2 linked regions of the Rattus norvegicus genome follow. The protein of the gene in region 1 interacts with the protein of each later gene in a biochemical or structural test. Links are inferred from orthologs where the notes say so. Each region holds a gene or a part of one and is shown in the gene's direction. Other genes may lie near its edges. The genes, in order: Usp8 and Stam2.

The links.
Region 2: the proteins of Usp8 (region 1) and Stam2 form a complex in vitro, tested with the Homo sapiens proteins (3 studies listed by BioGRID, with this or other methods). The link is inferred for Rattus norvegicus from reciprocal best matches to the Homo sapiens genes USP8 and STAM2.

What each region holds. Positions count from the first base shown.
Region 1 is NC_086021.1:134,406,332-134,423,106, forward strand, and holds the start of Usp8 (ubiquitin carboxyl-terminal hydrolase 8), read left to right. Parts: upstream 1-9,194; 5' UTR 9,195-9,333; intron 9,334-16,775. UniProt on the Homo sapiens protein: Hydrolase that can remove conjugated ubiquitin from proteins and therefore plays an important regulatory role at the level of protein turnover by preventing degradation. Converts both 'Lys-48' an 'Lys-63'-linked ubiquitin chains.
Region 2 is NC_086021.1:57,599,790-57,615,764, reverse strand, and holds part of Stam2 (signal transducing adapter molecule 2), read left to right. Parts: intron 1-5,362; coding exon 5,363-5,457; intron 5,458-7,336; coding exon 7,337-7,419; intron 7,420-7,551; coding exon 7,552-7,639; intron 7,640-8,870; coding exon 8,871-8,925; intron 8,926-12,030; coding exon 12,031-12,181; intron 12,182-15,129; coding exon 15,130-15,296; intron 15,297-15,975.

The sequences.
Region 1 (16,775 bases):
TGATCTTAGCCAAAAGGCCGAGAAGTGATGCCTCTGAGGATCCTGTTTAACTTTCTTCAATTTTTCATTTCCGGGTTCCCCCTCAGTTTGAGTTTTCTTTGTTAATTCTGTCTCCACTTTTGGGTGTTGAACTATTTTATTTCCTTCTACTGTTTGTGTTTTCATAGACTTCTTCAAAGGATTGATTCATTTCTCTCTTTTTTTTTTCTTTTCTTTTCTTTTTTTTCGGAGCTGGGGACCGAACCCAGGGCCTTGCGCTTGCTAGGCAAGCGCTCTACCACTGAGCTAAATCCCCAACCCCCTGAGCCAAATCCCCAACCCCCATTTCTCTTTAAAGACCTCTATCAGATCCATAAAGGCTGTTTCAGGTCTTTGTCTTCAGTTCCGTTGCAGCTATAGGGTCTCCAGTGGTGGGGCTGCTGGGCTCTGCATGCTGTTGTGATTTTACACTGGGGTTTAGGTGTAATGTGTAGTTTTATGCTCTACCCGCCTTTAGTTCCGGGAACAGACCACGCTACCAGCCCCCTCCCAGATTTCCCTGAATCGTGGATAAAAGATCCAGACACACAGTTGCTCAATTACATCTTGCTACAGCCCAGTCTCTGGCCTGGAGAAGTATGCCCTTATCAGTTTCTTATCTCAGTCTCTTCTACCAGCCCTCCACTTCAATTGCTAAACTCCCCTGACCACCCACCCCGCCTGTAGGAGCGGCCTGTGTGGCCACCCCCTTTTGAGATCTAGCAAGGTTGCCTGGTTCTCCTCTCTCCAAAGAAGGGTGAACTCTGTTCTCCTCCCTTGCATCTTGTAAGGTTGTTGGCCCGCATCTGCCTCCGCTGGGCACAGCCCCCTCGGGAAGTGGAACTTGGGGTGTTAGACTGCACTAGGGAAGCACTGAGGCACCAGGGATGGGAAAGTGCAGTCTGAGACTTGGAAAAGCCAGAGCTGGTTCAGGGATTCCCCTGCCCTGTGACCTTGGGGTTCTCAGACTCTTGGACATCCAGGTGCTTCTGAGAGTCACAGAAGGGCAGAAAACGGAGTTGGGTGCTGGAGGGCTGAGGACAGCTTCTAGCCATTGGGGCAGTGTGTGTGTGTGTGTGTGTGTGTGTGTGTGTGTGTGTGTGTGTGTGTGTGTGTGTGTGTGTTTGCGCGCGCGCGCGCGCGCGCTCCAACTTATCCCAGTAGGAATGATTGATTATCCTTAGCTTGGTTGATGCAGGCTTGATGGCTGTTGTAGCTGGGAGTGCAGAGAGGCCTTCTACAGAAGATTAGGCTGCAACTTTGTAGTCATAGACCTCCTTCATGGGTCCCCATAATAGAGACAGTCTATGATCTGTCAGGTGCCTACATGACCACACCTTCCATGTCAGGAATCCGGCAGGGAGAAGGGAGTCACCTAAGCCTTGTGTGCCCACCAAATCTCTGGGTCTCAACCTGCTCTACCTCACTGAACTTCCTGGCATGATTTTACACCCTACAGTGTCTCTCTTCTCCTGGGGCCCAGAAGCCCTGTCTGACCCTTCTGCCCAGCAATTGGCTCAAGGCTTTCTTTACTGACAGATCAAGAAGCAATTGGGAAACAGGACCTTAGCATCAGACCCGCTCCCTACATTTAGGCATCTGGGTCTGGAAAAATTGTCATTCTAGGCACTGATATCCGGTCCTGTCCTTGTTGAGTGGACCTTGTTTCTATTGCCCCTCCCTGGTTCTTAGGAGACCACAGTGACTATATTTTACCTCGTAGGGAATACTTCTAGGATCCTGATAGATATGGCCATTGGGAGTTTCTAGGTAAAATATATTCCCAGGTACTGGTAAACTGACACTTAGAAGTGTAGATGAGCCGGCTAGGAGGGGGAAGGCAGGAGAGGCTGGGGCTTCACAAATGGGAGGAAAGCAGGTGTTCCACCAGGATCTGCTTAGTCCTCTGGGGATGGGGGCAGAGAGTAAGGAGAAGCCACAACAAATAGTCACTACAGAGCTGAGGGTGAGACGGGAGGGGTGGATATGGAGGAAAGCAGGGGAAGTGAAGAGCTGAAGCCTGACTATCGCCTTTGCAGGTCTATTTGCTTCTCTGACAGGCTTGGGTGGTGGGTTCCCAGAGAATGTCTGCTGTAGCTTGGGGCTGGGTGATCAGGATGAGTGGGGAGTAAGATTGGAGGAGGAGAGCTGCAGGATCTGCTGGAGATAAGGCAGAGTGGAGGGAGGGATGGTCTGCTACAGAGCAGGAGCTGAGAAAGGGTACTGGACTTGGAGGAGAGAAGTGAGAAAAATAGTTAGGCTCCCCACCAATTCCCAGAGAGTGTCTTTTGAAATTGGGAAGTGGGATGATGATGTGGTTTGCCCTGGAGTTATCTGTATTTTGATGCTAATGTAATTTGATACCTCAAGGACAGCTTCCTAGTCACCTACTCAGGACTCAGGTGACTGCACTAGAACCTTCTCCCCATTTAATTGTAAAATACAGGTGAGGGCAGGTACAGGATAGAAGGAGGCCTGCCATTAGACAAGAAGGAAGGATGGGTGGGAGAAAAGTTTGAAGGGAGAGGAGGAGACAGGAACAGAAAGAGGAAGAGACAAGAGGGACACAGAGAGTAGTCACAGTGGAGAGAAAATGGAAGCGGACATTAAGATTCCACTCTTTATTTACAGGCTGTTATTAATGTTCTTAAGGGATGGATGGTACTGGGCTTTGTATGTTTAGGTGGGCAATTATATCTTATCAGTTGGATCTAAAGTTATTGTGTTGTGTGTTCTTTCATGTGCAGATTTAAGTGTAAGGGAGTGTGGGGCGGCTGGTCTGGGCCACCAGGGAATTGGAATGTGTGCTTCTGGCAAGATGTACAGCAGATATCTTGGGGCACTGCAGTGACAGACCTAGTTGGGGATAAAAGACAGCATTTTATTTTTTATATTTTTACAACAACAGGATGAAGTGATGATTTAGGAGTTGAAAGGTTGGAGGGGAAGATCTGTATGACTCGCTGGAGATGGGGGTAGGGAGGGAAGGGAGGACACAGCATATGGACTGGTACGAGCTGGGGAGGAGACTGGAGGTTGGATTTGGAGGAGATGGGGAGAGATGATAAGTTGCTGTTAGTTATCCTTAGCCTACTTTCTTCCCTGGCCTGTGTGGCAAACAGAGTGTTCCCTGGGAATGCCTGTGGGAATTAGAGCTAGGATGAAGCCGTGAGTGTGTGTGGGGGGGGGAGGGGTATCAAGGAGATCTGTATAACCCACTGGAGATGGAGCAGGGAGACTGCAGCATGTGATCTGCTACAGAGCTAGGAATAAAACTGAGGCACTGGATTTGGAGAAGAGAAGGGATAAGTGAAGAGTGCAGTTAGTCTACCTGTTCTCCTGGCCAGAGTCAGATGTAGGCCCTTTGAAAGTTCAATGCTCACCCCAATTACACACTTCCTCCAATAAAGCCACATTTCCTGATCCTTCTAATCCTTCTCAAATAGTGCCACTCCCTGGTGACTAAGTATTCAAGGAGATGAGCCTGTGGGAGCCATTCTTATTCAGACTTCTATATTGCCATACAACAGGATCTGTGCACTTTTGCTGAGTGTGTGCAGGTGCTTGTGCATCCTTGTATGTGTGTCTGTGTGTGTAGGCTATAGGAAAACTTAGGTATTATGTTTGTTAGTTTATTGTCAATGTATCACAAACTAGAGTAATTTGGAAAGAAGAAACCTCAATTGACAAAATGCCCTTTCCAAAGTAGCCTATGTATATGAGTTTTGAGGGTATTTTCTTCATTACTAACTGATGTGGGAGGGCTCAGTCCATTGTGGGTAGTGCCCTTCCTGTGCAGGTGGACCTGGGTTGTATAACAAAACAGGCTGAAAGCCTCTAAACAGCTTCCTTTCATGGCTTCTGCTTCAGTTTCTGTCTCCAAGTTTCTGTCTCAAGTCCCTGTGGTGGTTTGAATATGCTTGGCCCAGGGAGTGGCACTATTTGGAGGGGTGGTCTTTTTGGAGGAAGTATGTCACTATGGGCGCGGGCAATGAGACCTGCTCCTAACCATGTGGGATCTAGTCTTCTAGCCTTTGGAACAAGAGATGGATGTTGTGGTATAATTATAAAAATAAAATGCTGTCTTTTATTCCCTCTAGATCCAGCACTGGGGTGCCCTAAGATATCTGCTAGATATCTTAAATCTCAGTCAGCAAAGCCTCTCACCCGATTTGCTCCATCCCATATCATACTGCCAAAGGCCTCTCTCTGAGCCCTGTCAGCAATCTCTCTACCTATATAGTTCCCAAGGCAGGTTTCCATGCCAGAAACACACATAACTGTGTGGCAGCCCAGCCCAGCCGCCCCACACTCCCTTATACTTAAATCTGCACATGAAAGAACACACAACACAATAACCTCTGATCCAATTGATAAGATATAATTGCCCACCTAAACACACAAAGCCTTGTACGCATCAATCCCTTAAGAACATTCATAACAACCTGTAAAGGTACCCCATCCCCCAAACAGACAGGAGCCCATCCGATGCAATCACAGTAGGACATTTTTATTCAAGCTAGCTAGGGTTCCTCAGTGCACCCCTGCTACGCAGGAAGGTTTTGGTGCTGAGGAGCCCCGAATATCTATCTGGGCAAGACTTTATAGGAAACAGCAAGTGGGGGGTAAGTGTGCAAGCATCTAATTGGGAAGTTATTATGCCATTAACATAATTGGCTGGTGCTGGGAGTCATACTATAAACTTAAGTTTTGAGTCCCTCTGCGTTGGGGTTGTTAGGCAGGGGGCGGGCTTGTAACCTGGGGGTGCAGGTTTGTTGGAGGAATAACCTGGAGATGCTGGTCTTGTTGGGAGATAACTTAGAAACTAATGCTATGCTTGTTTACCTGAGTTCAAACTCAGGTCAGGTTCTCGGAAATGGAGTCTGAATTGAAAAGATTTGGCCTCTCAGCTGTGACAGACCTGACCAACTTTTCAGAATTTGTGGATAGACTTTGAAATGTTGAATTAGAAAAGGAGTTGAGGGGGGTTGGGGATTTAGCTCAGTGGTAGAGCACTTGCCTAGGAAGCGCAAGGCCCTGGGTTCGGTCCCCAGCTCCGAAAAAAAGAAAAGGAAAAAAAAAAAAAAAGATTTATAGAAAAGGAGTTGAATATTCAGAGACAAATTAATTACTGTGGGGATTTAGAAGAAAATGGTGAGTGTAGAGCAGATGAGGGAGGCCTGGCTTGTAAAGTTTCAGAGGGAGTTTACAATTCCTTCAATGACTCTACTAGGACCACTTGATATTCTGAGTTTAAAATCTGCACCAGGAGGTGATGGTGCACACCTTTTATCCCAGCACTCAATAGGCAAAGGCGGGCAGATCTCTGAGTTTGAGGCCAGTCTGGCCTACAAGAGCAAGTTACATGGCAGCCAGAGCTACACACAGAGAGAAACCCTGCTTTGAAAAAACAAAACCAACAACCAACCAACCAACCAAACAAACAAACAAACAAACAAAGACTGTGTTCTGGTCAGATAGGGTTAAAAAATTTGCTTTCATTGACAAGAGGCCAAAATCACTAAAATGATTGAGAAGAGATTAAGCTATGTTTAAGAGGAGACCAGCAGTATCATAGAGGCAGAGTCTTCTTAGGTGTTTCCTCAGATCAGCACAGAGAAGATGTGGTCCTTTGGAATGTGGCAAGTCTCCCAGGTAATACTGTTTTCGAAAGCATGAAGAAGGCCAGGAGAAGCCACTGGTGACAGTCCAAATTTAGTTGCACTAGAAGCCCTAGTATTGAAGGGGCAAGTAGAGAATTGAGGGCTGACAGTGTCTGGTCGTGTTTAGGTTCCCTGATGAGAGTCCAGAATTGGTTGCAGGTGAACCAGTCCATTTGTAACGGAGAGCCCAGAACTTTAGAGGTGCCAGTGCCATGGAGCAACCACCAAGGACAGCAGCAAGTGTGGGATGGAGCTGGTCTGAGTCTGTGAGAAAATCTGTGTATACTGTGGACAGAAGAGCCACAGAGGCGGAACTACTCAGCCCCTTCAGAGCCTAGAAGATTGCCATAGCAATAGAAAAATAACTACGGGACTGGTTATGAATCATACAATTGGAAATAAATTGTGGAGATATTATAATATAATACATAGTGTGTTATAGTATAGTTCTATCTCAAGGAAGGATTGCATCCAAGCACATACATGATATACATTTATACATATTAAATATTTAATTTAAAATATCTTCTTTAGACGATTCCTTAAAGTATCATTATAGGTGAAGGTTGGTAACATTCTCCAATTGTAAAAACAGCACATCTCTTATCTGAAATGGTTGGGACAACAAGAATTTCAGGGCTTTAATTTTTTAATTTGGAATTCTTTCATATCTAATGAAGTATCTTGGGGATAGAACCCCAAGTCTAAGTGTAAAGTATTGTATGCTGTTTGTATGCTATATACTAACAAATAACTTTATATACAGTGCTCTTAGCATGCCTATTTTGATTGCAAACACCATCACAAGAATTTGGAGATTTTTACTGTGGCTTCATGTTCAAATTCTTGCAAGTCTTTCAGCATACCCACTCGTCCCTGCTTCACAGGTTTTGTCCTGTACATACCCATTAGTGCATCTCTCACCCTAGGTCCTGTAGAGTACCACTTTTTCATAAAGCCCTCTCCTGTCAATCCCATAAAAGAGACTGCCGTCCTTCCAGACCCCTTAGTTTATTTTTACCCTTAGAATTTAACAATGGTTAACATAGACTTTATGTTTTTATTATGTCTTTACCAGAAAAACCTAAATCAACTCTGAAAATTGATGACTGGCACAAACATCTACTCAATAACTGTACAGTTTTTATTTTAAAAATATTGTTTTGTCTTAATTTTTTGAGACGGGGCCTCATGTAGCCCAGCCTGGCTTTAAACGATGTATAGCAGAGGTTGTCTTTGAACTACTGATCCTCCTACCTCTATCCCCTCCCAACAAGTGTTAGGATTACATCTGTGTCACCTTGCTTAACTACCAGTAAGTGGATGTTTAATAATGGTGAGTGAACCAGGTACTGACTTATGTGAGCACTGAAGCTATGATTCAATATGGGCCATTACTTTTAAATAGGTATTATTCTAGGCACCACAAGTACTGTTGCCTAGTTTGTTATTATATATATATATATATATATATATATATATATATATGAAAAAGAGCCGTGTCCTACAATACAACTGAATGAGCATAATTTCATCCAGGTGTCTCTCCTCATGAAGATTTCTCATCCCATAAGGACTGAAAAGTTCAAATCTCACCTCAGGATTTTTATTAGTCATCTGGAGCTATCTCCAGTCTTTTTGCTTTTACTGTATGGCTCGGACTGGGGATTACCTTGCCATTTCTTGTTTCTGATGTTTGGCACCTGTTAACCCACATGTCCACCTCTTTCTCTATTTACGCAGAAACACATGCAAATGACTTGTGATTTCTAGCAAACCTGACTGAAATGTCAGTGAAGCAGGAAGAATTCTGTTTGCTGGGAGTGGGACGAGACAGAAGCAGAATTACATCAATGCAAGTAAAATAACTCTAGGCGTGGGTTGAAGAGGTGGCTCAAGAGCTAAGAGCTCTTGCTGCTCTTCAAGGGGACAAAGCTTCAGTTGCCAGCACCCATGTTGAGTGATTCACAACTACCTGTAACTTCAGCTCTAGGGGCTAGGACACCCTCTTCTGGCCTCAGAAGGCATCACATGCATAAATACATTAAAAAAATAACTGTAGGTGAATATTAAAAAGCAGTGTTTATTAAAAGCTTTTCTGGGACCTCATCAATATATTAAAAAAAAATTGTTCTTGGGGAGAGAAAGCACATGGAGATCAGAAGACAACTTTTGAGATACCAGGCGTGTGTGTGTGTGTGTGTGTGTGTGTGTGTGTGTGTGTGTGTGTGTGTTTTCCAGGGATCAAACTCAGACTGTCAAGCTTAGCTTACCCGGTAAGGATTTCACCCATCTTGTTGGGCTAAGAGAAATTTTTTATTGACCCACTCCAATGATGTCTCTCTTCTTCTTTCATTCCTACCTTCTTCCAATTGTCAGAGCACCCCAAAACGTTCTCCATGTGTTTGATACTTACTCTCACATTCAGCTCTAAGTTTTTCTTTCCTTATTCAATTTTACAAAGCTGAGTAGAGAAAATATTTTCCTAAAACAACCCGTCCTCAAAAAGCAATTTCTTCCTTAATTATGAGGAAAAAGAAAGTCATTGAGACTTTTATTCAATAGTTTCAAGCATTGTGCCTTATCATAGCAGTCTTTACTTGTCTAGAGAGATCAAATAGTATATAATTTAGTGTTGGTTTTTTAAAGAAGGAATACAAATATATTTTTGCATGTAGCAAACTGTAATGGGAAGGAAATTAATGTTTATTTTAAAGGCTGCTGGACTGGATGCTTACTAGTCTTTACGGTTGACTGCCTATTTGCTAAATATTTTCATTATATATACTTAGTAGACCTGTACTTACAGATTTGACATGCATTAAAGATTTGGACTATCGGGATTGGGAATTTAGCTCACTTGCCTAGCAAGCCCAAGGCCCTGGGTTCGGTCCCCAGCTCCAAAAAAAAAGAAAAAAAAAGAAAAAAGATTTGGACTATCCCTAGGGATTTAGTGACCAGGGACAACTCCACCCTAAGCAATTTTTATGTCCACGAGTACCCCATCCTTTCTCCACAAACTATCTTCCAGAGTTCAGACCCAGCTTTGTAAGACTGGACCTTTAGGAAATTTTGACCGTGTTTGTGCAATGTTTTCCAAACACGTCTGTTCTTTAACAAGAGGCTTGGATTTGGAGAATGCTTACTCTCAAGTTTTTGGGGTATCAATCCTCTTCCCGTTTTTTTCTCCCCAATTTCCGATCTGAGAAGAAAAATACACTATTGAGAGGCGCTAAAATATCTTCGCTTCCTCCATGGACAGCTTAAAACACGATGTGACACATTCTGAACTGACTTCCTCTAGGAAATGAGATGCGCGAGGACCCCGGAAGTGCTGCATGGGCGCTTCGGTCCCGCACAGGCTCAAACCTCCCTTCTGACGCATGCTCACACCGGCTCCGTGCTCACCCTTCTGGAGAGGGCCACCCCGTTGTCCCTCCCTACCGGACAGAGAGGAGGAGTTACGGTTCTCACTTGAAGCTCCGCCCCCTCCGTGACGTTTAGAGGCGCGACCCGTCGCACGCAATGCGAATCGGGAAGAGGGGATGATCTGCGCTGCTTTGCGTCTGAGAACGGAGGCTCGTTCTCCTTCTGGTGGTGGGCGATGGGCGTCAGGCGAGAAGGCCGGCGTTAGCGGAGCGCGGGCGCTGCGGTGAGTGCGGCCTGGCTCCGGCCCCGGTTCCCGGGGAAGGCGTCCTCCAGCTGCTGGTCATCCGGGAGACGAGCGGTGTCCGCGGAGGGGTGGGACAACCCCTGACAACTGGCTGGTCCAGGAAGGGCCCGACTCCTGGTCTCTCCCGTTCCCCTCCTCCGGTGCCCAGCGAGTTTGATGTGGTTTGCCGGTCTCAGAGGGTGGCCTTGACCAGTTCTCCTTTCTTTTGGACACTAGACCCAACTTTGGACTCGTTCCTTTTGCTTCCTTTTTCTCATTTTGTGCTATCTACAATCCCAGGCCTTACTACAACCATTTGTCATGTTTTCCCTATTCCCCTGTACCCCGGTCACGCATGATTTTAGTGAAGTACAAGAATTGAGTTAAATAAACTCACCACATTTAAAACTTCTTCAAAGAGGGCATTTTCTATTTTTTAAAAAAATGTTTCTTCGTTTGTAGACTTTTGGCACTGACAAGTTCACTTCAAATATGATGTACCGAGGGGATTGTCAAACCCAAACACAGTGATGTTCATTTACCCACAAAGCTGCAGACCCTGTTCCTGTTTTGTTCTAGCTTTCAGTCTGTGACCTTGACCAAGTCAGTCATTCAAGAAATATTTATGTGACTCACAGAGGTGTTTCAGAGTCTAAGGGGTTTAATGTTTATTAAAAGCTCTAGGGTTTGGGATCAAAAGGATGCCTAAAGAGTGTAATCTCCCCCACCTCCCAAACAAGTCTTACTATGTAAACAAGACTTGTCTTAAACTCACAGAAACCCTCCTCCCTTGGCTCGAGAGTTGGATAAAACTGTGCATCAAGCACCACTCCTGGCAAGGGCAATCTTTTTTAATCTGTAGAGTATTCTTAGTTGTGTATATTATCTTACTTCATTAAAAAATCCATGTGTTATTTTTTGGGTTTGGTGGCTTTTGTTTTTCCGAGGCAGAGTTTCTCTGTGTAGCCAGGGCTGTTCTGGAACTCACTCTGTAAACCAGGCTTGCCTTGGTCTCACCGGCCTCTGCCTCCCGAGTGCAGCCCCACCACTGCCAGGCTCTGCATGTTGCTTTTTTTTTTTTTTTTTTTAAAGCTCTCTGCTTTATGACTCTTTCTGTTTAAGACTTCTAGTTGAAAGTCAATCATGTTGGATTTAGGGAGTTTCTTATCGATAGAGCTCTGCCTAATAAGGCTGTATTCATGCTTCTTTAAGACTGTGAATTAGTATATATATTAATCATGCCACTGTTGATATGAAATGTATATTACTGCTCTTTTGACCAGATATTAGGTACATATTTTAGTTGAGCTGCACGGATCTTGCAGTAGCAATATAAGTCTGTGAGTAATGAAAAACTAACAGAAATATTTAAAGTTTTCTTTTTATCCATTAACTTGTTGATTTATTTACTTACACCTTATTAATCATTCTGACCTTTTGTTGATAAGAACATAAATGGGGGGGTTGGGGATTTAGCTCAGCGGTAGAGTGCTTGCCTAGCGAGCGCAAGGCCCTGGGTTCAGTCCCCAGCTTCGAAAAAAAGAAAAAAGAAAAAAAAAGAACATAAATGGGTCAGAATCCAGATGGCTTTGTAAAACAGTTGTAATATAAAGCCAACACATCAAACTTTATTCGTAATATGCTTAGGGAAGGAGATTTATTTTGCCCCACGGTTTCAGAGGCTTCTGCCCAAGGTTAGTTGGATCCATTGCTTTGCATCCGAGGTGAAGCATAGTCCCATGGTGGCAAAAGTATGTTAATGGAGACTGTTTACCTCATAGCAGCCAAAGAGCAGGGAGGAGTCTTGTATTTTATTTTGTTATAAAAACTGACTGGGTTTAGGTTATCAGAAAGCACTCCAAGATTGTTCATTCACCGTAGTTACTGATGTTGGTTACAGCTGGGAATAATGACTGCAGTGCTTAGTGCAGCGTCTGTGTGGATTGAACTTCTTATAGCCTGTGTGCTGGGTTCCATGACTACACTTTAGTCTCTGAAAAGCCTGTATCAAGAAATTAGCACAGTAACTTCTAGTAATATTCTAGTGGTTAGAGCAATCATGGCACCCTTCCTATCAGATGATGGATTTATACCATTTTTGTGTTTATGTGTGTTTGGTGCTAGGGCACCCAGGGCATGGCACATACATATCAAAGCACTGCTGCGATGTACCAAAAGCCTGACTCCTACCTTTTAAAGCAAAAGGTTCTCAAAACTACTTTACAGGCTCCCAACATGTGTGTGACCACACGCAAATTTATTTTTTGTATAAATCAAAAACTCTGTAATCTAACCATATATAATTGCTCTTAGAAACTAGGGCTATTTCCTTCCTTCCCTCCTTCATTTCTGTTCCTTAGCATTCTAATACTTGTTCGTGTGCCTTAGAGTTCTTTTCCTTTTTTTTTTTTTTTTTGGTTCTTTTTTTCGGAGCTGGGGAACGAACCCAGGGCCTTGTGCTTCCTAGGCAAGCGCTCTACCACTGAGCTAAATTCCCAACCCCTGTTCTTTTCCTTTTTTAGCACTATGCTTCCCTTCATTGTGCAATGTCTGTTCTCTACTGAGTCTTTCTTCCCATAGGATGCCTAGTTTGAGGCCTTAAGTAAAGTATCAGCTGCAGCAAAAACAAGGCTTCGATTCCTTGATGATTTATTCTCTACTCTCATGACCAAGGCTGGCCTCTAATTCCTGGGCTGAAGAGATCCTTCTGCCTCAACCTCCCCCCAGGTAGCTGGAATTGCAGATGCATGCCGCTGTACTCTGATGCCAGTGTTTTAAAGAGAATTATATATGCTTTAAAATACACTACATAGGGGCTGGGGATTTAGCTCAGTGGTAGAGCGCTTACGGAAGCGCAAGGCCCTGGGTTCGGTCCCCAGCTCCGGAAAAAAAAGAACCAAAAAAAAAAAAAAAAAAAAACACTACATAAAAGCAGGGTAAATAAAATAGTTGTAAAACGTCCCTCCCAGACTCAAATTTTGCTTGTGTAGACTCCCAGCTTCAGACCCCATTTTGAAGTATATGTAGCCTTTAGGAGGTGGGGCCTGACTGGTAGATGTTTGTTGCCGGGGATAGTCTTGAAGGTTGTTCCAGCCTGTGGCTCCCTCAGAGCTTTCTGCTTCTGGTCTGCCAGATTAGAGGAGCCACCTCAGCATACTCGTGCTGCCATAAATTCTGTCATAACTTTCCCTGCTATGATGGACTGAAATTCTTCCAAAACAGTGAGGCAAAATAAACTCCCCTTAAATTATTTCAGGTTTTTTTGTCACAGAATAAAAGTAATACAGTATCATTTTCAGTGATAGTATATGCTGTAATCTCCCAAACAATAGGTTTTTTTTTTTCTTTCTAAGACAGCCTTGGCTGTCCTAGAACTCACTGTGTAGACCAAGTTGGCTTTGTACTAAGAGATCCACCTGCCTCAGCCTCCTCAGTGCTGGGATTAAAGGTGTGTGTCACCATGCCCATCACTGGTCAGTTTTTATTTTCATTATTTATTTATTTTATGTATTTGAGTACACTGTCTATCTTTTCAGACACATCAGATCCCATTACAGACAGTTGTGAACCACTATGTGTGGTTGCTGGGAACTGAACTCAGGTCCTCTAGAAGAACATCAGTGCTCTTAACCGCAGAGCCATCTCTCTAGCCCCATCACTGATCAGATATTAAGCTACGGTTTTGTTTTTCACATTTGTTGTTATTATTGGCTTGCTTGTTTGGTTGTTTTTTGAGACATGACCTTTTTAAATAGCCCAAAGCCGCCTTGAATTTACCGCCTTCTAGCTTCAGCTTCCTGTCTGGGCATGCATTTTTGTGTGTCTGTTATTATTATTTAGTTAATAACATTAGTGTTCTTGTCTTTTTACAGAAGGAAAATGAGGTAATGTAAGCAAGTGAAAATACTCAGTTTTAATCATTAAATCACCAAAGCAGTGTGCCCAATTTGTTCTTCCCTGCTATTCTTCCCTAACTGTTCTTTCCCATAGTATTGTTCCCTTATTCCATCTTCAAATCCTCTTGCATATACCCATTCTGGCCGTCCTGAGGCAATACTGATGTGCCAAATGTCTTCTCAAGCCCTCCACTCTGCGACAGTACTTACTTTTTTTTTTTTTTTTGGTTCTTTTTTTTCTGGAGCTGGGGACCGAACCCAGGGCCTTGTGCTTCCTAGGCAAGCGCTCTACCACTGAGCTAAATCCCCAACCCCAGTACTTACTTTTTAATCTAGCAGCTCTTAAGTGTTGACAGGATTATTAAGTTAGAGTCAGGATACATCATATCATCAGTGCACTCCTTTGGTCCCAGTGATTATTGCTTCATGATTCCCATAGGTTGCCTTACTATAGTTTCCGAATTGTTTTCTCACAGTGATTTCTCATTTTATGTCTCTATGGTGCTTCCCTTCTGAAACATTGCCTTTCTCACTTCATCTCTCATCATTTCAGCCAATTTGTTATTTGGCCCAAAAACTGTACTGACTGAGCAATATAGGTAGCAAGTACTGTAGGACTCAGACTAAGACATGAACTTCAAGAACTGACAGACAGAGGGAAGCTGAAGCTGAAAGGAAGGGGCCAGCATTGAAGAAGACACTGTGGGCTGGCTGAAGCTTTCTCTGTCTAGCTGAACTAGATTTTTCTTTCCCTGAGTTCAGCTAGTGACCTGAGTCATATTAATATGTACTAGAGCAATTGATTGTTGACTTATTATTTCATGAATATTAACTCTGGTTAACCAGAGTAAGACATTTGTGACCACCAACCCTTGTTTTCTATATCCCTTAGAAAAGTGTGTTCAGAGTCTGCCTCACTTAAGGTTCCACCTTACCTCAGTGATGAGACATGGCTGCATTATGCTTAGTCTTCTGTTTTCTTTCTTTTTTTTTTTTTTTTTGGTTCTTTTTTTCGGAGCTGGGGACCGAACCCAGGGCCTTGCGCTTCCTAGGTAAGCGCTCTACCACTGAGCTAAATCCCCAGCCCCTTCTGTTTTCTTTAGGAAGTAAAAGCTTGCCTTAGAATGGAGGTTCAAGGACTATAAAAGGTGTATGCTTTTTGGCGTGTGTTCTATAATGAGCTTATTTGGTTACAGATCAGCAAGTGGTAGTTCCCCAGGCCAGCGTTGGTCTTTGGACTGTATTTGGAATAGCACTGCCGTCATGTGAGCTATCAAGTTCTCGTTTTGTTTTGAGACATTGTCTTGCTGGTTAGCATAGGCTGGCTTGAATTCTCAGTCTTCTTGCTTTAGCTTCCGGCTACACATCGGGCTACTTTGTTTGCTTTAGTTTATAATCCTTTTTTTAATATTGCATAATTTTACATATATAATATACACATATACATACATGCATACATACATATATCCAGGGTCTTACTATGAAGCCCAGGTTGGCCTTGAATCTATAATCCAGTAAAATACATACATACATATACACACACACACACACACACACACACACACACATACACACACACACACATACACACACACACACACACACACACACACGCACGTGCTGAAGACTTTAGTAGCATTGTTCCATGCGGAGTCTGACTATGTGGCATGCCCTGTCGCTGTCTTTGCAGGGTTTCTTGTTCTTGTTCTACTTCCTTATTTCACTTCTGTCACCCTGGGTCCGACCTCCATCCTTCTTTCTCTTCCATCATTACAAATCATTACAATAGATAACTAGGATTTTCTTTCTTCACATCTTTGTGCTCTTGTTAGTTGGGGTTGCACAACTAACAAGCAGGTTCCTTCAGAACCCTGCTGTGGTTCTCTTATTACCTTTAGAAAACAAGGTAAATGCTCATGTGCTTTTCATAGCCTTTTTTTTTTTCTTTTCTTTTTTTCGCTCTACCACTGAGCTAAATCACTAACCCCTTTTCATAGCCTTTTATGATTTGTGTGGAGACTGTTTTTGACTTCTCTGCCTCATGGCTTCTTGTACATTCTGTCTGATAGCTGATTCCTAGAGATGCACTTGGTCTCTTGACCTTGTCCCCACACTATTCCTCACTGCTATCAAAGCCATCTTCATCAAAGAAGATACTTAACGTTCACTTTTTTCTGATTACTTCTAGTTCCCTTTGGTTGTAGTTTTCTTTCCTAATGTTTTTATTTGTAACACCATCTATTACTTTTATTTCCACTGATTACAATTTTGTTTCACATTAGTTTTGTAAGCCTCATGTGGAACTAGTCTAATCCTTCAGCTTCTGAAAGCATGGCACTTTATATAGCAGGATATCAATGCGCTTACATTTTACTTTAACTAGCTAATGACCTACTCTTTTAAATTATCTATATATCTGACACGATTTTCACATTTATTTTAAAGATCCAAGTTTTAGGGGCTAAAGAGTTGGGATTGAGAGCACTGGCTGCTTTTTCAGATGACCCAGGTTTGATTCCTGCACCCACATGGCAGTTCACAGGATCTTTAACTCCAGTTCCAAGGGATCCAGCACCTGTTTGTGAATTAAAGTGTTCATATTAGATACCAGGCCTTATGTCTTCTTTAACAGCTGTCCTTTAGTGCAGAACCTGCACTTGCAAGGAAAATCTGCTTGGGGTTTTCACTGATACTAAAATAATGGTGCTGTCTGAGAACAAGGCAATCCAAGGGATCCCTGTCACACCCTTTATTTAATGGATGTTCTTTGTTCTTAGTGAATTGTTAATGAATTGATAGTAGAACACATCCAGTATCACTTGACCCATTTGGAAGTGATGGTGAGGGTAGAAACTTTTTCTCCCATTATTATAACTTTAGATACAAGGTTCAGAACAGGAGGTAAAGGTTTCATATGCAAAGTCATTGTGTCCCCCCCCCCCCCCCCCCCCCGAGCTGAGGACTGAACCCAGGGCCTTGCGCTTGCTAGGCAAGCACTCTATCACTGAGCTAAATCCCCAACCCCTAAAGTCATTGTTTCTAATTGCATATATATCAAGGTATCAGTTACCATTTAGTTCAACATGTTTTGAAAGATGCATGGAGCAAGTATATATATAGAAAAACCTGAAAAGGTAAAAATGGGATTTTTAGAGGAAAGCTGTTTGGTAACAATATAGTCCTAACACAGACTTGGAAGGGATAAGACCAGATATTCATAAAGTATTAGTGTTTAATACAGGAATGACTAGAGTCAAAGGAAATTGAAGTGTTTTTGGAGTTTGATGTAAGTGGACTAAGACCATTCCCTTAAATTGTACCTCAATCAGCCCTTAGGAATTTTTTTTTTGTCCAGCCACCTTTAATCTCAGCATTTGGAAGGCAGAGGCAGGTAGATCTTGAGTTTGAGTCCAACCTGGTCTACAAAGCAAGTTTCAAGACAGTCAGGGTTATACAGAGAAACGTGGCCATTTTGTCTGCATGTACATCTACATATCACTTGGGTGTTGGATCTTCTGGATTGGTGTTATAGATGGTTATGAGCCA
Region 2 (15,975 bases), about 77 Mb from region 1:
CCGTGGTCAAAGCAATCAAAAGCCATGCTAATAGAAATGCTATTGCAGAACTCCCTCACCATTCCTTTACATTTACAATCCAAAGAAGCAAAACAGATTGATCTGTTTTGAGCCTAATTCTCCTCCTCCTTCTCTTCTTCCTCCTCCTCCTCCCCCCCCCTTTTTTTTTTTTGGCTTGTTTATTTTTGGAGACAAGGCCTTTAAGGCCTTCTGTCTCAATTTCCCAAATGTTGAAGTTACAGAGAATTGGGATTTCTGCATGAACTTTATTATACTTTTAAAAGAAGCGGAAGTGGTCTGTGAGCTGGCTCAGTGGATCACAACTCTTGCCTTTACGTGTGAGGGCCTGAGTCCAGTCCTTGGGACCCACATGTGGTAGGAGAGCACTGTCTTTTGCAAGTTCTCTTCTGCCTTCCACACACACATACACGAAATAGATAAGTGAACATAATCCTTTTTTTAAGTCGATGAACCTTTGCAGTAGTGAGGCCAGGCGGCTTTCTGCTGTGAGCAAAGATGGCGAGTGTACCTGCTTTCCTAGACTAGTGAGGTACATGGAAGTAGTTTTAATTTTTTAAGTATATTTATTTGTGTGCACACATGCATGTATGATCGTGTGTATGCCCACACAACCACCATGTGATGTGGAAGTCAGAGGACAACTTGCAAGAGTCACCTTCTACCCCAGAACCCCATGTGGGTTCTGGAGGCCAGACACAAACAGTCAGGCATCACCATAACCTGCTGTGCCATCTTGCTGGCCCTAGTCTAGCCTATTTTTAAGTGGCTACATACATATGGTTTTGCTTTGCTGCTGTATTTATAGAGAAGATGTTATGTAATAGACTATTTATAATAAAAAAAATGAATGAGGACACAGTTCTGTTTTTGTGAGACTTAAGTAAGGGAGTTAAAATGATGGGGTAGACAGTGATATATGCAAGACAGAGCATGACGATACCATGAAAGAGGCTGTCTCAGGCCACGGAGAACCAGTTTACATTTGGTATAGACACTGGCTTGCCCAAGGGAGGGTTGCTTCGTTTCAGATGAATCTTGATGGAGTGTTTTTCATTCCATGTTTTTCACTGCTAAGGACTGAACTCTGGCCTTGTACACTCAGGGCAGAGCTTTGACTCTCAGTTATGTCCCTAACCCCTTGGGTTGACTTTGAAAAAAAAATTGTAAGAAACTGAAAGGAGTCTAAGCACTAAACAGAAAAATAAGAAAGAAGCTTTAAGGAAAGGCTAGGATAGCATCAGCACAGAATTTATTGCTTCTTTGCCTGTAGTAGCTGTGGTTTCCTCGTAGGATGGTCTTACCCATCAAGGGCATCACTTTCCTTCTGCCACTGTCATTACAAGAGTCGTCAGGGAGTTGTTCTGGTTAGACCTCACAGCTGAAGAGAAAGGCTCAAGAGTTCCTTGGTTCTGAGACTTACACTTACTTGTGGGGAGGGTGCACATGTGTGCTGTGTCATGTGTGTGACGGTTAGAGGACACCGTACAGTTCTTTCCTTCCGCCATTGGGTCCTAGGGGTCAGTCTCAGATCTCCAGGCCCAGGAAGTGGTTTTAGCTGAGTTGTGTTGCCAGCCCAAGACCTAAAACCAGATAGGAGAACCTCAATCTCCTTTCAAATCTCAGAATACAAAAGGTAGGTTGTTTGTTTTATTTTCTCATAGCATTCCATAATAAATGCAGAGAAATGCCAGTTTTATTCTAACAGCCTAATTTCCTTTCATCTTGTCAAGTCAGCTTCTCTTCAGGAGTCACCTGCTGAGCTGTGTTTCTCTCTGCTGTAGCCAAGCACCCATGTGACAGACACAAGTGAGGAGGCTGTGTTTTCACCGAGAGTCCTTGCTTGTGTAGAAAGTAGTGTACAGAATATCTCTGGGCTACTGATGCCTCCTTCTCTGATCTAAGAATTTAGGTGGTGGGTAGCTCGCTTATATCATTGTGGAACTCAGTAAATGAAATGCTTCAGAGGCACAGAGACAGCTTCGTCATTAATCCCAGGATTCCTCCTTTGAGGACAGCGTAGTGTAAGAGTTTGAACCTCGCACGAAAAGGCTTTGGATACAGTTCCTAGTCCTACCAAGAAGAAAAAGAAAACCAAAAGCATCTTTAAGAATCACAGTTTGTCACATGAAATTTCTAGAAAGTAGATAAAAAGGGTTCTTCCCGGATAACTATGACTGTCCTTTTTTGGAAGTCCAAGAGAATAAGTGGTATTGATAAACAGCTAAGTTGGATTTATTAGATAAAACTTAATGACAAAAATCAGTGGTAGGTTTGAAAATGTAGTAGGAAGATGTCATTCTTTACTGCAGCTGTGAGGACTTTGAGAACCTGTGTTTGGCCCACTGGATCAACATGGCAGCTCACAACTGTAACTCCAGTTTCAGGGGTGCAGTGCCTCTTCTGAGCTGTCAGGTGCCTGCATGTGGTGCCATGTGCACGCTCAAGCCCACATACTTAGGTATAAAGTAAAATCACTAACGCCATCTGGTAATGAATAACCTGCAAGGGTATGCAAGGCCTTTATGGAGACTCTATAAAATTCCTGGAAAGGTAAGAGATAAAAGTATACATTATATTTATAAACATACAAATAGAGTGATAAACCTTCATATTGTAAAGATTTAGGTTTTCTCATATCACATAAATGAACTGCATTTCCAATTAAACTCCTTTTAAAATTCTTTTTCCCAAAGAATTTGAAAAAAGTTGGAGACGTGATGTGTCCAGAGAGTGGTTAACCAGCCAGCATGAGGGGCGTGGACTCTTCCCGATGTATTGTACATAGCAGTCACTTCCTAGGCAGATGAGAAGCAATCTAAGCCTTAGGAATTGCTGGCCTCTGCAGTCTTTTTCTCTTGGCAGCATGATTGACTGCAAGTAACGGAATCTACAGAGAGCTAAACGGCAGCTGACGAATTCCTCTAGACTGTTGGAATAGAGTGAGACACCGAGATAGGCTCAGGACAGACACAGCTTGCAGTGTGACTGTTAGGGGAGCAGATGTTAGGGGTTTTTTTTTTTGTTTTTGTTTTTTAATTTATTTTTTACTCAATCACTTTGCATCCTGCTCACGGGCCACTTCCTGGTCACCCCCTCACACAGTCCTTACCCCTATTCCCCTCCTTCCCTCTCCTCTGAGTGGGTGGGACCCCCAGCTATCCCCCCACCCTGTTAAATCAAGTCTGTGAGGCTAGGAGCATCCTTTAGTGAACTCTTAGTAATTTTTGCTGCACTGATTTGTTCTTCATACAATAAAATGAAGTTTGTTCCACACAGCACTTACAGTTTGATTCCACATGATTTAGTGACCTAAGCATGGCAGATGGACAAAAATGCAATCTGAATTATTAGACAAGTCTCTGGGGAGGGGGTAGATAGTAATTTAGGGCAGAGAAAGCTAGATAAATGTGAGACATGGAGAAAAGGTTACTTAATTGCCCTGAAAGCAGGGGTGGTCTTAATTCAGTTGCCATTCTAAGTTCATAAAGAACTAAAATCCATGAAGAAAATACCTATGGTCCAGTAGGAAAAACTAAACAGGCAAAGATAAGAACAAGCAGTTTAGGACTGGAGAGATGGGTCAGTGGTTAAGAGCACTGACTGTGGGTTGGGGATTTAGCTCAGTGGTAGAGCCCTGGGTTCGGTCCCCAGCTCCGAAAAAAAGAAAAAAGAAAAAAAAAAAAGTCAAAACATTGCTTTATTTTGGGCTGGAGAGATGGCTCAGCGGTTAAGAGCACCCACTGCTCTTCCAGAGGTCCTGAGTTCAATTCCCAGCAACCACATGGTGGCTTACAACCATCTGTAAAGAGATCCGATGCCCTCTTCTGGTGTATCTGAAGACAGCTACAGTGTACTTATATATAATAAATGAATAAATCTTTTAAAAAAAAAAAAAAGAGCACTGACTGCTCTTCCAGAGGTCCTGAGTTCAATTCCCAGCAACCATATGGTAGCTCACAACCATCTGTAATGGGATCAGATGCCCTCTTCTGGTGTGTCTGAAGACAGCTACAGTGTACTCATAAAATAAATTAATAAATCTTTAAAACAAGCAATTTAAAAAGTGAATTCCAGTATAGCAAGGCTACATGGAGAAACCCTGTCTCAAAAAAAGAAAAAAAAAAGAGAGAGAAAGAAAGAAAGGAGAAAAGAAAAAGAGAAAAAGCAGTTTGTGGAAGAGACCTGGAGAATCCCCGTGAGCATGATGAAGCATGCCTTGCCTTCTTTCTAGAATCAGATGTCGGCACGGACAATTACCACGTGTGGGAAAATGACTGCCCCACATGCTCCTTGGGGAAGGAGTGTGAGGTACCAGTCTTTCTAAGGAACATTGGCAATATCTGTAAAACCAAGCATGCCTGAGCCAGCACGTAGTTTTGTCTGTGTGTCCACCCTTCTCCCTACCCCCATCCCTTAATATTTTCGGAGACAGTTTCATTGTTTTGGCCTTTTTATCCAGACTGGTCTTGAACTCCATGGCTCATACAGTTCTTTCCAAGTACGAAGAGCTATAGGCATCAGAACACACCTAGCTTGCAGGTCAGTCTTGAACAAACCTAGAACAGTAGTTGCGCAGGTCAGTCTTGAACAAACCTAGAACAGTAGTTGCGTATCAGCTTTCTAATCCAGAGTGATTACTAGTCAGTCTTGTTTGTTTTTCCAAGACAGAGTTTCTGTGTGTAACCCTGGCTGTCCTGGAGTTCACTCTGTAGACCAGGCTGGCCTTAAACTCAGAGCTCCATCTGCTTCTACCTCCCAAAGGCATCTCCCACTGCCTCCCTGTGCTCTTCAGTCTATAAAGTTGAGAGACTGGGAATGACCTGGAATGAGCTGTAGAAGTCCATCTTCACAGAAATGATTAAACTAAGTGCATGTGCACTTGTGACAGAACTTTAAACGAGACGAGTAGCGCTGGAAGTATTAACCATGAAACTAAACGGCTCTCCCTGGAGCGACACACGTCTCCACACAAGTGTCAGCTCAGCTGTCTTTACGTGTGAAGGGATGGGAAGTAGATAGGGAAGGAGCTGCCTCGAGTGTGGTGCTGGGCGTGTGGAGGGTGGATTTGGGCTTAGCCACTGATAATTGCTTCGAAGCGATGGTATGGGGATATAGATTTTCTTAGGTTTATACATTTTTAACTGTCTTTTCATTAATTTGAGAAAAAAGTGTTTCTGGTTCTCCGATGCTAGGATTACAGGTTTGTCCCACTGTGTCTGGCTAAGAAAAACAGCTTTTAAGTATGGCTAGATGGGAACAAAATGTGAAAGTCCAGTCGCCATGTTGAGTTTCTCTTGTTGGGGTGCAGAATAGCCAGTGACCTTTTCCGTGCTGTTTTCAGTGATGCCAACTGGTGGGAAGGAGAAAATCACAGAGGAGCAGGACTCTTCCCCTCCAGCTTCGTAACGACTGATTTAAGCACCGAGGTTGAGGCGGGTAAGGCAACAAAGGTATTGGTTTCTCAGAGAAGCATCGGTCTACTGAAGTTATCTTCCCTTGAATTTATTATTGGCGTTTGAGAGTGGGAGGGCCTGGGTGTCCCAGCACATACCTTAGTCTTAGCACTTGTGGACAGAGGCAGGCAGATCTGTGTATTTCAAATCCTTTGGGTGTTGGTGTGTATAGTGATGATGATGCAAAATAAATATTTAAATCAAAAACTGAGAAGCAGTTTGTATCTGGTCTATACAAAATGTTTTTGGAACCACAGTAAAGGTGGGGACCACATAGGTCTTAGTCAGCAGGTGCTGAGCAAGGCAACAGGCCTTGTGAATCCTTAACTTTTATATTTTCTTCCATCTTGATTTGATTATAGGCCACTGACCTTCACCTGCACCTATATAAACCGTGTAGTCGGCCACACCGAGAGCACGGGCATTTGTTACCCACGCACTCCCTGGGTGATTTTAAGTGTACAGAATCAGCCTAGAGTAATGTTGACAGTTGGTTAACAGCTGGTTAAGCCTGTCAGCACTCTCCCATGCTCTCCTGCCTGTGGAGTCAGTATGTTTGCTGCCTTGATAGAGGAGGCTAAGGTGGAGGAACTTGTCTGGTAAGGGATAGGGCCAGAATTCTAAAGGCCTCCAGGCTCACTTCTGAGTGCCCTCAGACTCCTGCTGAGGCAGAGCTGAGCCCCCTCTACAGAAAGAGCATGTTGTGAAATTGTCGTGTGCCGTGCACAGTGTTCATAGTGCAGAGTGAAGCATGAGGAGAAGTGAAGTTGGGTGAGGGGAGGCGTATTCATGTAGACACAGAGCGCATTGCTTTCTCTCTGGCTTTCGTAGTTGATAGAAGCCTTGGGAGCTTTTCAGATAACATTATACAACATAGAAGACATCCTGTTCAGGGCTCTTCCTCTTGCTAGAGTTGAAGAGACTGGCCTGTGACAGTAAAATATTCAGCTGGGAGTGTAGTTTAGTAAAATGATTTCCTAGCATGTGCAAAGCCCTAGGCTTGATCACAATTTCTCTTCAGTAACATTATTTTTAAATAGTAAAAAGTACTCTTTTTGTTTTGTTTTTTGAGGTAGAGTTTCTCTGTGTAGCAGAGGTCTAGCTGTCCTGGACTCTGTTTGTAGACCAGGCTGGCCTTGAACTCACAGAGATCTGCCTTTCTGTGCCTCCCAGTGCTAGAATTAAAGGCATAAACACCATGCCTGACAGGAAAAGTCATCTTGATCCTCACTGTATCTCTATGTCTTGTTGAGCTCTCTTTACATGTAATTCAAAGTTAGCCAAATACTTTAGGTCAGGAGGCCGCTAGACCTCATCCTTTAGTTACGTTGTTTTCAATAGAACTTTTGTTTCCATCAAAGTTTAATTAAAATTGAGTACTTTCTAGCAGTGCTCCAGGGATCTCGTATTAGGTAGTTTTCAGGATACGCATATTTATAAATTATTTTAAAATATTCTCTTTAGGAAATATTTTTTTGTTTTAGCTTTATACTATTTTAACTCTCAGATAGCTTAAGTTCAGTCTATGTTTTGTTCAACTAGGAAATACATATATTTTTTTTAATTTTTAAATATAGAAGGTCAGAGGTACATGGAGCATGCAGTTATAAGTGGGACTGGCTTAGTGATAACATCTATTCCCAGATGATTGTGTTCACCGCCTGGCATGTATCTAAGCACTGGGAAGGAGGTTTGGCACACCGTGAGTGCTGAGTAAATATTGTGGCATAAATGACCATATGTAATATATTGATTATGAATTATTTCCTATGGATAATAATAGACCACCTAGAAATTTAATGACTAAATTGTAATGCTGATATAAATGTTGCAAAACTTAAAAACTTATTTTGTTTCTGTAGCAACAGTGGACAAATCGAATGTAATTGATGACGATGTGGAGGAAATTAAGAAGTCGGAACCTGAGCCTGTTTATATAGATGAGGTATCGACCTTTTGTTTAATAAACTAGCAAAACTTTTAAAAAATATCCTATCTTTTTGGAATAGGTGGGAACAGTGCTTCTCCACTCAGTGCGGTTAACTGGACTTCTCAGTGTCTCCTGTTACTTTTCTAGGGTAAAATGGACCGAGCCCTGCAGATTCTCCAGAGCATAGACCCAAAAGATCCAAAACCCGACTCCCAGGACCTCTTAGACTTGGAAGGTATTAGTTAATATTGAACTCACCTTTATGTTGCTTACATACATATTACAGTTTATAGTGTCCTGAAGTTTTTTTCCTGCTTCCTGTTTGCTCTTTGAGATTTGAAATTCTTGTGAGAAACAGACTTGTATATAAATAATTGTAAATAAATAGAAGTGTCACTTGGAAGATACTGTCACAGCCCATCTCCATTTCATGAAAGGAGTCTTTGTATTTTGTAAGGTCTCTAGTGAAATTGGCCAAAGAAAAGGCAGGATTAGAAATAACAGCATGGACAGGTGGCTCACACCTTTAATCCCAACACTTGAGAGGCAGAGACAGGCGGCTCTTAGAACAAGTTCCAGGACAGTCAGGGCTACACAGAGAAACCCTGTCTTGAAAACAAACAAAAAACAAACAACAACAAATCATATCATAGTAAGTGAAGTCAGTATGTAAAAGTTTATTTTTGTTTAACTGTCTTCTGACTGTGTGTCATTTAGTTTCTAAGAGTTTAAAGCAAAACAGATACTCTTCTGTGTTTAAGGATCCTTCTCGGGTTTCTAACCAAGTGCCAACCAGCAGTCAACCAGAGTCAAACAAACAATCCCAGTACTTTGGGCTTCTGGGCTTAGGGGATTGATTGTACATACAGCTCCTGCATGAAGAAGGCTAAGGCAGGGAGAGCGCCATGAGTTCAAGGCCAGTCTGGACCATGGAGTGCGACCCAGTCAGAAAACCACACAACAAAACTAAACAACCTTTGTAAAAAAAAACACAGTAAATAGATGTCTTAAATTTTTTATATAAAAGAAAGCTTGGTTATGAATATGGAGCACTTCTCTATGATATTTGTTTTTACGTTTGGAAGTCTGTGAAGTGTTTGGTGTGTGTATGTGTGAGCATGCCATATGCACACGTGGAAGCCAGAGGCTATCTCTGTAGAGCCGGCTCTCTGCTCCCCCTAGGACCAAACGCAGGTCACCAGGCTTGTATAGCAGGCTCCTTTATCTGCATAGCCATCTTAGCCCTGCATTGTAAAACATCTTACATACATAAAAAGTATGACTGTCCAATGCTTGTGCGTGTGTACACATAGTCCATACATCTGGACCAGGTTCGCCTTTATCATCTTTCCTGGCATAAGCTTATTTCCCTATATTTTATATGATGATGCATATTCTCTTGTTTAAAGATTATTGAAATCGACTTGTATTAAGTTTCTATATTTGTAATTATTTCTGTATTACAGATATTTGCCAACAGATGGGTCCAATGATAGATGAAAAACTTGAAGAAATTGATAGGTGAGGTCTTCACTTGCTTTGAGCAGATTTTCAGCTGGGGAGTCGCTCGTGGGATTGAGCAATTACTGCAGTTCCGGGTCGGTCGCCAGACTTTAAAGCTAGCGTCTGGTTACGCTGTTTATTTTCATAACGTCACTCCCACCAACGGCAGGAATGTGGCATGTGTAGACCGTGGACCCTTGCATTTTATCACAGTCACTTTGTTTTGGGGGCTGGAATTGAGTACGAAAGAATGAAGTGTGTCAAGGACAACATGAACACGGGTGTACCCAGTGAGGTTGACTGTGACAGACCCAGGAGAAATAGCATCTGTGAATATAACGAGTGAGACTTCCCTAATTTGGGAAGCTAAATGCAGTGCAGCGACTCCCCTCGTCTTCTCTCAAGCCTCTCTCTGTGTTCCTGATGCCTTTTCTGTTCCCTTGTCGCCCTGAGTTTGCTGCTCTGAGACTGGGCATCAGTGCTGCTGGTGGACAGGGTTACTCCCATTGGAGAAGCTTGAGAAATGAAGTCCAAGGGGAAGGAATTACTCTCCGCTTTTCTCCCTTTCCAGCCCCTAGTGATTGAACAGCTGTATAAATCATACAAAAAGAAAGGGATTAGGTTAATTTTCTAGTAGGTCAGCAAACAGTGATTCATTCAGGAAAAAATGGTTTGTTCCATAATGTATTTTAACATTATTTTTATTTTATGTGTGTAAGTGTTCGCCTTCATATCTGTGCACCATGTATCTACCTGGTGCCTGCAGAGGCAAGAAGAGGGCCTCAGTTCCCTTGGAACTGGAGTTACAGGTGATTGTGAGCTGGAAATCAAATCTGGGTCCTGAGGAAGAGCAGCCAGTGCTCTTAACCATTGAGCCATCTCTCCAGCTCCTCCATAGCATGCAGATATAGTTTTTTTTTTTAATGAATCCTTTGTGTTTTTACAAAACTGAAATAATCAGTGGTAGATTGGTCATAGTTTTAGATAGATCATAGTTTTGGAGAACATATCCCACACCTACTTATACATCTGCTACTAATGATTAGTGAGTAATCACACTGGGAAAGTTGAGAAAAAAATAACTAGTTTGCCATACGTGTGGCTGGCAATATTAGTACGCATTTCCCTAGGCCTAAAAATATTCTTTACCCAAACCATTTGAAATGCGTACTAAATCTAGGGAGCTATACAGTGACCAGATGTTGTGATATTAAACACAATGCTATTTATGACCATAAATATGCAGCTAACTAAAATGTCTTTCAGTGTTCTGTGTCTTATAGTAGAAATTAATTGCCATTGAAAAATACTTTCTGATATGGAATGATGTCATATATATAGTGGAAGATAGAACAGCATAACATTACTTTCATTAATAAGAAGAATTTACTAAAGAAGAATGTCTAAAGGAATTAAAACTCAGAGTGCCCATTTCTGAAGTCAGTTACCTTTGAGTGAGAGCTGGCTGTCCATCTGTGAGTCTGTGAGCCAGGGTCAGTGTTTCATAGCAGAGGGGACATTGCAGCCTCTAGGGCTTTATAGTCTCATGGACTGTTTGCTCCTGCCACGAATTCAAAGATAAATATAAATCATTTTTCCTTGAATAAATCAGCAACAGTTTGCTATTTCTATAAGGGATGGGAATGAGAGTTAAAGTGCCTTGTTAGAAAGTTAAATTGTACATTTCACTTTGTCATCACAAAGCATGAGCTCTCATACTGCCCTCCAGTTCTGACTTACCAGACTATTGTAATCTGATTTTCTACTGCTTTCCCCATTAGGTTGGCCTTTCACTCCTCCCCTGTATCCTGGTTGTCCATTTGCCTACCTTTCTTTTACCATCTGGCCGACCTGACCTGGTCATTGTTTCTACCTTTCCTGTCCATCTTTCCTCAGGACGAACTTGAGCCCTGGTCTTGTCTCTGCTGTCTCCAGCTCCCGTTAACCTCTAAGTTCTCTGTCCTTTCCCCACTCCTTAGAAGTTTGCACTTGGTTATGTGTTACTTCATTTGCTGGTTTTTCTTTTGTGCTCTTGACCTTGTCTTCCAAGGAGAAGCGCCTCAGCTGTCCTTGCTTGCTCTGGTGTAGTCCTGAGTGTGATTCCCTGAAGGCTTGCCTTTGCTTGGGGTTGTCAGTCTTGCAGGATGGTCTTATGCATGCGCTCGTGGCCGTCCGCTGTTGTGTCAGTGTCTCTGCAGTACGCTGGGTTACGTAGGCCACATCACGCTGTTACTGCGTACACCTGACTTCTGTAGGTTTAAGTGCTTTGCAGCAGTTAGATAGTTTGCCTGCTTGTGGTCATGGCACGAGAAGAGACAGCACCTGTTAGTTGGCTCAAATAGCATGTTAATGAAGGAGAGACTGCTATTTGTGTGTTGGGCAGTTTATTCGGCTTCTCATCTCTCTTGTTCACACTGAATCACATCCAGTATACACTTACAGATGATTAATACCACACAAAAAGTAGCCATTTAACTTACACCGTCATTCATCACCCCCAGGGGAATGGGCAGAGTTGTACCATCAGGGTGCATTTCCTGGGTGGATAATGCTTATCTGGATTTGTTGTTGTCTAATGCTGTGCCTAGTTTTGTTTACTTCCCCAAAGTAATGAAGTAAACAGAGTAGCCCAACTTGTGTATATGTTGGTTTTACTTGTGTTTCCTTGATTTTAGTTTGTCCTGTCCTGGACCTGAGTAAGGCGTGTATGCTTTTCTCCCATTTTGCTCTTACTGCAGTCACAGTATACCTCACAGGGGCTCCGGGTCTTCATCTACATACTGTACTGTGTTAGTGGGGTTTATAATCAAGGCATAGACTTTTACTGAAACATAGACTATTTTTCTTTGTAATTAAAATTTTGACATAAATCTATAATGTATTAAGTTAAATTCTAGCACCCAAATTATGAATTGATTGCAATTTATGAGGTGTAGATCTGCCTTTTCTGTATTATTAGGAAGATGGACCAGTCTGTTGATGGAATTCAAGTTTCTCCTCTCAGTTTTCCTTTGGGGATGCCCTTTCATTGCATATAAAAAGAGCCTTCTGAGGTATGAACAAAAATGTGTACTAAACTTGAACGGTCTTCACGTTACTTTGAAAATACTTGTCTTGCATCAGGAGGCACTCAGAGCTGTCGGAGCTGAACGTAAAGGTGCTGGAGGCCCTGGAGCTGTACAACAAATTGGTCAATGAAGCGCCCATGTACTCAGTCTATTCGAAGCTCCACCCGGCTCCTTACTCAGCCACAGCAGCTGGGGTTCCAGTGCAGGTGAGCATTGCTCTTGAGAAGTAGTCATGGTTTTAAAAAAATTAAATGTTTTAAGAGCATAATGCTAAGGGCAAGATAAGGCCCCAGGGACCTGCTGCCCACGAGTAAAATTATAAAACTAGGGCTGGAAAGATGTGAAGAGATGGCTTAGCCATTAAAGATTAGGCTCACAACCAAAAAACAAAAAAACAAACAAAACAAAAAACCAATGTTCAAAACAGTGTATGTTCCTTCTTCACTGTGAGAAAGTACCTGAGGAGAGTCAGCTAAAAGGAGGAAGGTTGTTTGGCTGGTCTAGTGATCTCAGGCGTCTCAGTTCATAGTCAGCTGGCTCCACTGTCCTCAGCCCAAAAGAGCACTCCATCCCCAGGGCAGGTGGGAGGCAGAATAGTGCAGGTCTGAGGGCAAGATAAGGCCCCAGGGACCTGCTTTCTCCAGCAAGTCCTTACCTTCTCACAGCACGCTCTACCATGCACTCACTAACGGGCGGATTCATGGGTAAAGTTAGCTCTCGCTCACCAAGTTCTTGAAATCCAGACTTCCAGCACACAAGCCTCTGGTGTGTGGGGGTGGGAGGGGATCTCCATATCTGCAGACCTTGGCACTGAACTTTGATGGTTTCAGAAGTATTGTTTGAACAGTGTTAGCCATAAAGATTAAATATGATATTTCACAAATTCATTCCAGTTTATTTTTAACACATTGAAAAGACTGTGCCTGGTTCTTTTTATGCCTCTGTAAGGAAGTAAGTATGTATGGGGTATAAGTCTTCTTTGTAGATGTAAGTCCTGGGCTGGAGACATGGCTCAGCCGTTAAAGGCTAGGCTCACAACCAAAAATGTACATGTAAGTCCTGTTTTATCAAGCACGAATTTCTCTCATATATACACACACACACATAATTTTTAATTTTATGTACCCTAAAGTGTTGTCTGGATATATGTCTGTATGAGGGTGTCAGATCTCCTGGGAAGGAGTTACATACAGTTGTGAGCTGCCATGTGGGTGCTAGGCATTGTACTTGTGTCCTCTGAAAGAGCAGCATTTTCTTAGACTCACGCCTTAACGTCTGTGTAATGAAGCTTTGCTCTGGGCTGTGAGATGTAGTTGCCAGAAGCTGCCCATTAGCAACATTGCTTTCCCACTACTTAGCATGGTTTTGTGCCTCCAGCTGACATGAGAATACTCAATTTCTTCAGTATCCCATTCCAAAGCATTTTTCAAATCTTAGCCAATTAAATTTAAATTAAGTGTGGATGAGCAAAATTCATGTTAATTTATGAAAAGTGGTATGCAATGGAGTGTGTGAAGGAGACACCAAGGAGAGCAACTAGAATGTGGTGCATAAATTAGATGATGTAACACAATATAATTGCTAAGTATTTTTTTAAAATGGTTACTGTGGTAACTGTCACACCAGAGAAGAAGCATTTATCAAATATGCCATGCTCTGAACTTTTTGAGAATTACATATGAGCTTAGAAAGGATTTCTGGGTTTAAAAAAGATTCCTGAAGTTTGTTCACTATTACTTCTGTTTTTAAAACGATGTTTGTTGCTGCTGTGGAAGTGGAATAAGTTAGAAGTGTCTGCTCCCCTGAACGAGAAGTGTGTGTGCTTCATGTCTGTGAAGGGCGGTCGCTCCTGTGCCAGGTGTCTGGGCTGCAGTTTGTACAGCTCGTCTCTTTTCCTTCTTTAGGTGTTCTCTAACATTTACTTTTTTCACACAGCTTCTTAATACATTAAGTCATGTGTGAGTTTGTTTGAAATTTCAAAAAATTACTGTTCTGTTTTTGAAAAACATATGAACTAAGTTGAGTGGCTGGGTTATGTACAAGAAATACACTTACAAATGGTGAACTCCAGAAGCCCATTCCTGTCTCACTTGGCAGAGGCTTGCTAAAGAGAACATCATTGCATTTTATGTAGCTTACTTGGCGTCGCCTATTATCCTAGATTTTAATGTAATCTTTGGTTTAAATCAAACTTAAGCAATGATTACTACCATATAGTAGTTATTATTAAACATACGGCTCGCTTTTGAATGCTGTTATGAATAGGCCGATAGACTCTGTCCTTACAGAACTGTTACTGTCTGTGAACATTTACGTAGGTTTACATAAGAATCTAGTGACTTTTTGCCGTTTCCTAAGAATGCACTTTGTCTTATTTCATAGCTCATCTTCTGAAGGCAGGTCTCTTAGTCACTTCTGTGAAGAGACACATGACCATGGCAACTCTTAGAAAGGCAGACATTTAATTGGGTTTGCCTAGAGGTTTCGTCAGTCCATTGTCATCATGGCAGGCATGGCTGGAGAAGGAGCCAAGAGTTTGATATCTGGATTGGTAGGCAACAGAAACACAGACACAGACACAGACACAGACACACACACACACACACACACACACACACACACACACACACACACACACGTCCTGGTTTGAGCATCTGAAATCTCAAAGCCCACCCCCCAGTGACTCAGTTCTCCTATAAAAACACACCTACTAGTGCCCCTCCACAGCAGGAGATGGGTACACAAAGCAGAGAGGGCCCAGCACCCTGGTCCTCTCTTTCAGCCTCTCTCCAGTGGGGGAGGTGGAGTAGTCATCCTCATGGTGGTCTGGAGTAATCACGGGCTTCCCTTCAGGGGAAGGTTCTGTGGCAAGATGTATATTAATAGACACTCTTGATAGAGTCCAGCCTTCTACTTAAAAATACAGTCCCCACTCTTTTCTTCAAAACTCCTGGAAAATCAAAGAACAATTAAACACACTGCAAAAGTTCATTGATTAGATATCAAAAGTTGGAGACTTTTTGTTCCAGTGTGGAAAGATCAGCAGAATCAGATTGTTCCTCAAATAGACAGTTCATTTCTTTTATGTCTTAAAGTTCTAGGTGTGCTTAGTTAAATCATAGAGTGAGCAACATTTTTTCTCTTTGATTAATAGACATACCCAGTCCAGTCGCATGGTGGGAACTACCTGGGTCATGGCATTCACCAAGTACCTGTTGCCCAGAGCTATAACCTAGGACCTGATCCTATGGGCTCATCGAGGTCTCTGCCTCCAAATATGAACTCAGTAACAGCACACACCATCCAACCTCCATATTTAAGGTACGTTTTAGAGAGCTGTGTTAAATTTCTTTAGTTTTAGAACAAGAACCTACAAACTCTTCTCCTTACAGTAACATTTTCACTTTTAACTTTTGCTGTTGCCTGTTTGCTTGACACAGGGCATCTCTGCACGGTCCTGTCTGTGCCCTAGAACTGACTGTGTAGACCAGACTGGCCTTGAACTCTTAGAGATGAGTCTGCCCCTGCCCCCTGAGTGCTGGAATCAAAGGTGGCTGCTGCCGAGCCAGCTCTCCCTTTCCACTCTTAAGGTGGAGCTGCTGGAGGCCGCTGCTGCTCTCCCTGGGTAGAATGGCACTGTTTTACTTTAATTGATATCTTGATAGCTGCTAAGGTTTGAACCCACAGTAAAGACCCTAGTGGTCTTCACAGGGATTGATGTCAGCGTGTTCTTAGTTCTGTGCTGTGGTAAGTTAGCCTAATGGAGCAATGCTAGCGACACCTGTATGTATGTATTAAAAAGTTAGTGCTTTCGCTCATAAAAGGATGTAAGATCCAACCAAAGTTGACTTGGGTTTAATATTTCTATACAAGCATTCTCAGAAAATCATATTTAAATCTTCCTATTGATTTACTTTATCACAGAATATGTATTCAGTGTTTTATTCAGCTGCCCTCTAAGGCCCCTTTTTGTCTTCAAGCCCATGAGTAAGGACTACCT